Rattus norvegicus: one gene and its partner. The protein of the gene in region 2 purifies or fractionates together with the protein of the main gene of each other region. This does not show direct contact. Links are inferred from orthologs where the notes say so. Each region holds a gene or a part of one and is shown on either strand. Other genes may lie near its edges.

What was found.
Region 1: the proteins of Klf6 (region 2) and Sp1 purify together in Homo sapiens (affinity purification with western blotting, with the first as the bait; 3 studies listed by BioGRID). This does not show direct contact. The link is inferred for Rattus norvegicus from reciprocal best matches to the Homo sapiens genes KLF6 and SP1.

The regions. Positions count from the first base shown.
Region 1 is NC_086025.1:135,418,602-135,422,910, reverse strand, and holds the start of Sp1 (transcription factor Sp1), read right to left. Parts: upstream 2,862-4,309; 5' UTR 2,824-2,861; coding exon 2,817-2,823; intron 2,673-2,816; exon of another isoform or gene 1,816-2,672; intron 1,475-1,815; coding exon 1,317-1,474; intron 1,036-1,316; coding exon 1-1,035. UniProt on the Homo sapiens protein: Transcription factor that can activate or repress transcription in response to physiological and pathological stimuli.
Region 2 is NC_086035.1:69,455,581-69,460,054, forward strand, and holds the start of Klf6 (Krueppel-like factor 6), read right to left. Parts: upstream 2,899-4,474; 5' UTR 2,757-2,898; coding exon 2,553-2,756; intron 1-2,552.

The DNA of each region.
Region 1 (4,309 bases), on a different chromosome or scaffold from region 2:
AATTTGTTGTTGCTGTGTCTGCTGACTTTGCTCTCCCTCTTTTTGCTGACTTCCTTGCAGTGATCCTCCTGATGTCTGGTTCTGCTGGATGTTTAGAGAATCAGACCCTTGCAGCCCACCAACTCTCTGGGATGTCTGGCCTTGAGAACTAGTCCCTGATGATCCGCTGCTGGTAAAGTTCATAATTCCCATGTTGCTGGTGGTGGTAGTTGTTGAATAGCTGTTGGCATTGGTGAAAAAGGAGCTGGAACTGGCTTGTGATGACACCAAGCTGGCAGAACTGATGGCAGTCCCTGAGGTGACAGGCTGTGAGCCACTCTCCTGGGATCCAGAGCTGCTGATCGTGCCTGCCTGAGAGCTGGGAGTCAGGGTAGCTGCAGAAACGCTGTTGACAGGTAGCAAGGTGATGTTCCCATTCAGGGCCACTGGTACATTGGTCACATACTGAGTCTGTCCTGAGAGCACATTATTAGCAAGGCCTTGGAGGGGGACAGCTTGCTGGAGTAGATTTGGCATAGCAGCAATAATGTTGCCCCCACTTCCTCTATTTGTGATGATCTGTTGATTTGCACCTGGTATGATCTGTATTTGACCAGAACCATCCTGCTGCACTTGGGCCCCAGTGGCAGCAAACTGCAGCTGTTGCCCATCAACAGTCTGGAACTGTGGGATTACTTGATACTGAATATTAGGCATTACTCCAGGTAGACCTGTCAGAACTTGCTGGTTCTGTAAGTTGGGGGTAGCAGCCACAACATACTGCCCACCAGAGACTGTGCGGTTCTTGGAAGACTCACTGCCATTGCTGCCATTGGTACTGTTGCCACTCTGTTCCTTTGAGGTAGGGGTAGCCCCAGAGGAGGAAGAGATGATCTGCCAGCCATTGGCACCCTGTGAAAGTTGTGTGGCTGTGAGGTCAAGTTCACCTGTGCCCCCTGACTGACTCGGACCCTGGGAGTTGTTGCTGTTCTCATTGGGTGACTCAATTCTGCTGCAGGTTGCTGCCAGCAGAGCCAAAGGAGATGGCTGGGATTCCTGGCCAGAAGAGAGGAAAGGAGTTAGTGGCACCCAATAGCTGGCCTAGGGGGCAGTATTCAACAGACAAACAGCAACAATGCAGGCATATAAAGAGCAAAAACCAGAAACAAAATGCTAACTTCTGTGTACTGTTCCAACTTTCCTATTTGGGGACCCTCTAGATCACCTATCTTTCTGTGTGTACTTCCCTACTGTACTTTCTCCCAGAGTTTTTGGTTAAGGAGGTTTCTAAGAATACTTATACCCTTTCAATACCTTCCCCATCTTTGATCACTCACCTGCCCTCCTCCGCCACCACTGCTGCTGCTACTGCCTGTGCTGCTGCTTCGAGTCTGAGAAAAGGCGGCACCACCACCGTTCCCGCTACCCCCGTTATTGCCACCAACACCTTTTTCAATCTTCACAGCTGTCACTTCATCCATTGAGTGATCTTGGTCTAAAAATAATTACAAAACAAATAAGTTGAGGGGGAAAAACATTAAGATTTAAAATTAACGTTTTGACCACCAGCAATGACTAATAAAATGTTTTTTTTTAAAGGTATTAGTCAGATACAGCTAGTTATGGTGGTAGGCCTAAAATCCCAGTATTTTGGAAGTGGAGACAAGAGTTCAAAGAAATTCTCAGTTACACATTAAACTGAGATGCCAAAGCCATAGGCATGCAGAGCAGGCACATGGCTTAATGGTGTCCAAGACAGGTCACTATTTTCCCAGGCATAAATTAACCCCAGAAATGACTCAAAAATTGCTTTGGAAGCCAGGCATGGTGACTCACACCTATAATCCCAAGACTTGGAAGGATGAGCCAGGTGGTTCTAGGTCTGCCAGACCTACAGAGTAAGAACTGATCTCAATGCAAACAGCACTTTTGAGGGAATTTGAGAGCAGTGTCTCAGAAATTAAAAAAAAAAAAAAAAAAAAAGTGGGGCCTAGTGATGGCACACTCTAATCCCAGCACTCAGGAGGAAGAGGCAGGCAACTAGGTAGCTAAAAGTTTGAGGTCTGCATAGTAACTTCGAGTTACTACGAGTACCACATAGACCCTATCTCAAAAAGAAAAACAAAAAAGCATCCTGGAAGGAAAAGGAGACCCAACACATAGGTGGATGGAAAGTGGGCTAAAATTAGGACTAAAAGAGATGGAGACAGATTAAGTGTAAACAAAAACAGGAAGGGGCCGAGAAAGGGTAAATTGTAAGTGGAGGTGAGGAAACATCTGAAGAGGGCAGGTAAGAGGCTAAAATGGTTTAGGGCTTAGAACCCAGGTTTGGGGCTGAGGGGCCGGGCCATAGAAGGAAGGGGCGGTTTCGGGGTTAGGGGCGTGGCAAGGGCGGGTCGGATGGGGGAAGGGAAATTTACGGGGGTGCGGGGGAGGGCCTGGAGCAGGCTGGGACCGGAGGGCGGACCGGGGAGGCGGTTGGCCCAGGCGGGGCCTGCACTGGTCGGGCCGCCCCCGCGGCGCCAGCCCCCGACAGGAGGAGCCTCAGGCGGCCGGCCGGGTAGTGGGGGGTAAGGCCCGTCCCCCGTGGCCGGGGCGGGCAGGGGGCGGGCGAGGCCAGGCTGCCCCCTCCCCCGGGGCGGGTAGCCCATCCCCCTCCTCCTCCGAGGCCCCGCCACTGCCCCTTCTCCCTCCCTTCCCTCCGCCCCGGGCGGGACCAAGGCCGCCGCCGCCGCCTCCCGCCCGCCCCCCCTCACAGCGGGGACCGCCCGGTCGGCCCTCGCGCGCGCCCCCTCACTCCCCTCCCACCCCTAGGCTTGGAGTGGACTCATCCTTACCGCTCATGGTGGCAGCTGAGGGGCGAGCTCAAGGGGGTCCTGTCCGGGGGGGTTGGGGGGGGCCGGGAAAAACGCGGACGCTGACGAGGCAAGCGAACCCGGACCGGACAGGGAGGGGGGGGTAAGGAGGAGGGAGCAGCGCGCCACAAGCCCGGCCTAGTCCCCGCCCCTTATCTGCTGCCCCTCCCAATGAAGGAGGGTGAAAGGAGGGACTTGCAGAGGAAAGGCGGGCAGTCTACCCAATGGCAAGACTCGCTCTCTCTCTGAGGCGTGTAAGACCAAGTTGCGTGCCTGGTTTCCGCCCAGAAAGGCCGCCCTCTCAGTTTTAACAACCAATTAGAGACTCGGGAAGTGGTGATGGGCGGGATGAGAAGATGGACTTGCAGAGAAACCAGTCAACCACCAGGCGGGCTCCGTGAGCGGTGGGGATAGGAGGAGATTAGGTAAGAAAGACAGGACAACGACCAACCAGAATCTTGGGCATGCCTGGGCAAAGTCCGTTTAGGAGAAGAGTAAGAAATAGGCCGGAATAGGACAGGATCAAGCTTTCTAAACCAATCAGAATTCAGGCGGGCAGTTAAGAAAGTTCTGATTGGACAACAACTGAAAAGAACCGGAACAGGGCTCATATTGACGTGAATGAACAGCCAATTAAACGCCGAGTAGAAGGTGAAGGCTGGAACTTGGAATGGGGAGAGGAGAACAGGCTTCCCCCTCAGATACTCAGGCCAATGAGGCAGCGAAAGCAGCCTGGCACCGCCTCTAGCTTTGGCCAATAGTCGTTAGAGGGCCGCCCCTCATGAGGAGGGAACCGGGCTGTGCCAAGTGGAGTTGGTCGCCATGTTGGCCCTCCTCAAGAGGCTTCTTTTCCTCGTTAGGTGGTACGCTTTAGCGGAGCCTTGCAGTTCCACAAGTGTCAGCGCTGAGACGCGCGAGGGCGAGGGTGTCGCGTCACCCGGGACCGTTCGAGTTTTCCCTTCACCGCTCCTACACAGCACCTCTCGAATGTCACCCCTGCCGGGATGGGCGGGCGGCTCCCCCTCGCCGTGGGTGGAAGCCCTGTGGCGGCGGGCGGGACGACAGCTTGGTGACGGCACACGAAAACCCAAGTCCACTGAGCTGAAGGCTTTTGGGAAGCTCTAGCAAACGCCATTTTCTTAAGCTGCCCCAGACACGCTAAACCACGGGCCAGGCAGGGTTCACTCCCATCACTCGGCTTTGAGAATGACGCACTCTGGAGAACTTCGTGAAGCCAAGCTCTCAAAATACTCAATTTACCCTCCTAGTAGAAAGCACGGTAACCTACTTTTGCAATCAAAAAGGTTAGAGAATTTGCCCTAGGCACCTCAATCTCTGGCCTCCATTTTGCCTCCTTTCTCCTTGTTTAATAGTTTGTCATTGACGGCTGTCACCACGTTTAACAATTGGAATTAATATAGTCACTGCATTATCTACAGTTAAGCACTTAATGTGTCCTACATTACGGAGCTGGA
Region 2 (4,474 bases):
CCACCATCCAGGAGGATTCCCACAGCAGGTCAGAAAGATTTCGCAGCTCACGGTGTGGTCTGAAGACCCTCCTTGGGGGACACAGTTGGCAATATAGGACTGTAGTCAGAATACAGACAGCAGATATCTGTCTGTATCCACTTCACAGACATCAATATAGATCTGAAAAGAAACCTCTCATTTTGCTGTGTAGCTGAGACCTAGGAGATTATATAAATATATACATATATATATACATATATACATATACACATGTATGTTTTTAAATGTCATTTCCCAAGTGCCGGACTGTGGATACCACCAAACTTTAATGATTTCTTCACACTGGCCAGAGAGAACCAAGAAATCTCAACAACAGAAATGAATTCTTTCAGAATGGCCATCTGCTATTGTAAAAAATGGAAAGGGGGAAATTACTCCCTGGCTCTTCTGGGAGTCCCACAATGAACAAGGACTTTATCTCCTGGCCAAGGGTACAACAGTATGAGTCATCACTCCTTTTTCTTTCACGCAATGCCAAAGGAGACTTCCTTTTGAAATTCTGACCAGCAGCCAAATAAGAACTCGGCTCAAATGTACATGCAGTGTGCCACGGACAGAGTGCTTGCTCCTTCCCCGGCCCTGAGACCAACCTTTCAGGGAGCTACACACTTCAGAGATTGGCAATCCCCATCTCCCTACCATCTCAAACTTTCTAGCCACTGGAAGAGAAAAATGGTAGGGAAGATTTTTAGGATTCAATTATGTGGGCCCTGATTTTTTCACTAGCTTTGCCTGCATGCCCATATAAGGCTGCCTGTGCCTCTGTGTATTCTATTCTACAGACAGAAATTTCGGCACTAAACTGCAAATATACATAGATATAGATATAGATATAGATATAGATATAGATATAGATATAGATATAGATAGTTATCAGGGCACAGACCATCTTAAGCACGGACCACCAGCCAAAGGGCTAATGCATACTTAACAATGTGCCTTCTATCACAGTATACACACATCCTCAGCCCTCCCTGTGGGCGGCTTCATACAGCAAGCATGAGCAAGCCACGGAAGGGGTGTGTGTGTGTGTGTGTGTGTGTGTGTGTGTGTGTGTGTGTGTGTACGCACATGCTTGTTTTCTCTTTCCCCACAAAATTCGATGTCTGTTACAGTGCATACAGTATTAAGAATCGAGATGATGATACCTATTATTGATGTGCCAAAGAAATGGCGAGCTCATTTATGAGGATCTTGTTAAACTTTAATCAACTGGCTAATTTAAAATCTCCATTATACTGATGAGCAGCAGTGGGGACCTGACCAAAGCTCTCTGGGAGTTTAAAAGGCTCTGAAGGGGACCAGGAGCCAAGTCTGGCTAGTTGCCCAAATCCCAAAAGCCTAAAGGAAACTACTAAGATCAATTTCAATCACGTCCCAGGGAGCAGCTTCTTTGAGGAGGAAAAATGGGGAGGGGGAGAGAAAGGCAGAGAGGATTGTGAACAATTAAGCCGGCATGTGGAGGTTTCAGCCAACACTTCGCTTTCCCTGCGTTTTAAAGCCTGGGAGGTTGTGAAACCCACGGAATATATTTCATCTGCTAATTCACTTGGAGGAAAAAAAAAAAGCCAGCCCAGAAGGGTAGAGAGATGGTCACGGAATCATCATGGTTTTAAAGACAATGGTAAAAGTGTTTGAGAATATATATATTTTTGCCACTCACAGAATCCTAAGACTTAGAAGGGGGAAGGGGTGTTTCTTTTATTTCCGTTGCCCCAAATTCTAGTTCCACTTAAATGCCGGAATTGGAGATTTTTCTTGCCCAAAGTAAGAACCGAAGCAACTAGGAATGGACTCATTGTCATATGACTGACAAGTCACTTGTGTGCAAACAGCACCCCCACACACACACACCCGCCGCGCAGTCAACAAGAAAAGCAGGTAAGAAAAACAAGGCAGACATACGTGAATGCTAAGACATTATCCAGAAGAAAAAGAAACTGTAAATGGCCTTGAGTTCAAAAAGAACCGCTGCGTTCCGCGAGCAATATCTTAAGACTTTTTTAAAAAATTGGATGTACAAATATCAAAACAAAACCAAAATCCTTAAATCAAATCTTTTGGCAGTCAAGGCAAGCTCGTTCATATGACAGGGTCCAGCTGTGGAGTTTGGAACTGGTACAAGCCCCAAAGTTGTGCCAATGGTTCAGGTCTGGATCGGCCAGAGGAATCTGGGGTCCCCCCCTCAGGTGTATGCTGCTCGGAAGCTCGGAATTAGCAAAAATGAAACAAAAACGAAGAAATAAAAACGTACTGGGAAGGAGAGCTCGCCTCCACACAAATGACAACTCTACTCCTCGCTCCCGAAGGCTCGCTCTACAGTGCCTTCACCATTCCAAGCAGCAGAAGGACATCTTAAGATCATTATTTTATTTTATTTTAAATTAGGCAAATGCTAATCATCATTAAAAAAGATGCACTTCCAAGTACACACCATCTTGCCTGCTCCTCCGCGCAACTCCCTCCTCGGCGCACCGGGCAGGTGAAAAAAAAAAAAAATCCGTATTTACCTGTTGCCAATATTCCTCCAGGGACGGCAGAGCCGAGAAGTAGCCCGTTTCGTGCACAATCTGTAGTTCCTGGAAGATGCTACACATTGGGAGCACATCCATGTCGGGTTGGAAAAGACAGTCCCCGCTGTCGGGAAAACAGGGAGGTGAACGATCAGGAGTCGGAGCAGAAACTGTTCCCGGGAGCGCAGGTGAAAGTTTCATGCAAACTGGATGGCGCTGCAATCGGACGCCGGGTCCGGACCCTCCCGCAGCCCGCAGCGCGCCGAGCCCACGCAATATTTGCAAACAGCGGACTGACTGCAAGCGTAACCCCTGCAAAACTTCCCTATTCAAAGCTCCGCTGCCAGCCTCCCCCCTCCTCCCCCGCTTGGCTCCCCCCACTCCTCCTCCCCCCACGTGACCAGCTTGGAGCTCCGCCCCCCACGGTACCCAATCCTGCCGCTCCTGTCCCGGGGGCTGCGCGACGATGATGTCAGCTCGCACCAATCGCCGGTGCGGTCACACAGCGGCCCCGCCTGGCGTGACCGAGCCTCTCCATTAAAGGCCTTCCTATTGGTGCAATTCGAACTCGGCCTGCGCTGATTGGAAAGACGTCTCGCAGGCTATTTTTAGCAGGGTATATAAGGCGAGGGCTACGGCGCGCCGAAGGAGTCGGCGCTGGGAGGTGCACAGCCTAACGTTGTAGAAGTGCGGCCGGAGCGGCCGGAGCTAGGGGAACCTGGCCGGGGCAACCGGGCACCTGTCCCCGCCGCCCGGCTGCTCGGTTGCACCTTCTGATCCGGTCACCCGGACCGGTACCCAGCAAATCAAGGGAGCAGACATATGCCCAATCCCCCTCATTCCTCCCGATAGTGGCCCGTGTTCCCGGATCCTTCCCTGGCCCTCCATTCTCCTTGATCCCCCGATTTCTCTCTTTGTCCCGAGTCCCCTCCGTACTCAGAGATGCAGAGGTGCCCCGGGGTAGGAGCAAACATGCCCTTATGTCCCCGTGTGGCAATGGGACCAAATGACCGAACAGCAGGGGGACTTGGTGCTCTAGAGTCACTGTGTGGTAGTTTCTGTCTGGATCCCTGGGGTGGAGGATGACAGGAGCCTGAAACTAAAATACCCCCACTTCCTACGCAGGCGGAGGGGGAAAAGCCAGAGCATCTCAAAAGCGCCCTACCTGACCTGTGTGTCAGATACACTCAGTTCTCAGGAATGAATTTTACCTACTCTAAGTTGGAAGTGCAGCTTTTAAGATCAAGATCGCATCGCTGACCCGGCGCCACCGCCACCCCGACTTGGAGAGCTGGACACTTACAGCTTAAAAAAAAATCCCTTTACTTGATGCACACAGTTTTAATTCAAAGAAGATGCAGATTCTGCTGCTAATGGGGTAGAAATGTGTTTATCTTTTAGAAGGCAGTCTCCAAGATGTCTCACGAAGGTTAACAGGCTTTCCCATTGTCGCGTAAACAATTTGAATTGTTTTTCATATGAATTGTCTCCCAAAGCACACCATGATATTCATTTAAAAGGAAAAACCAAAAAAAAAAAAAAAAGGAGGAAAGAGCAGCTAAAAGTTTTGAATAAAATTCCAATTATAATAACTTCGAAAATAATATTTAATGAACAGTATCCTTTTAAAAGTTATCAAACGTGTAAAATAAGTTGAAGAGAGTTTTCATATTTCATTTATGAGGTCTTGGAAAGATGCATGTATAGGCTTGACGGATTTGTAGGCAGGCTTAGTTATGAGCGCAAAGATGGGAAAAGTTATCTTACAATGCCTATTGTATGGATTATATGGAGGTGACCATTGGTCTTCATTTACCCTAGTGACAAAGAAGCAGACCTGTCCCTTACTGGGTTATGTGCCTGAATTCTGTTTCCCTGAAGGAAATAGAAATAGCTTTAGGATACACATGCATAGGTCG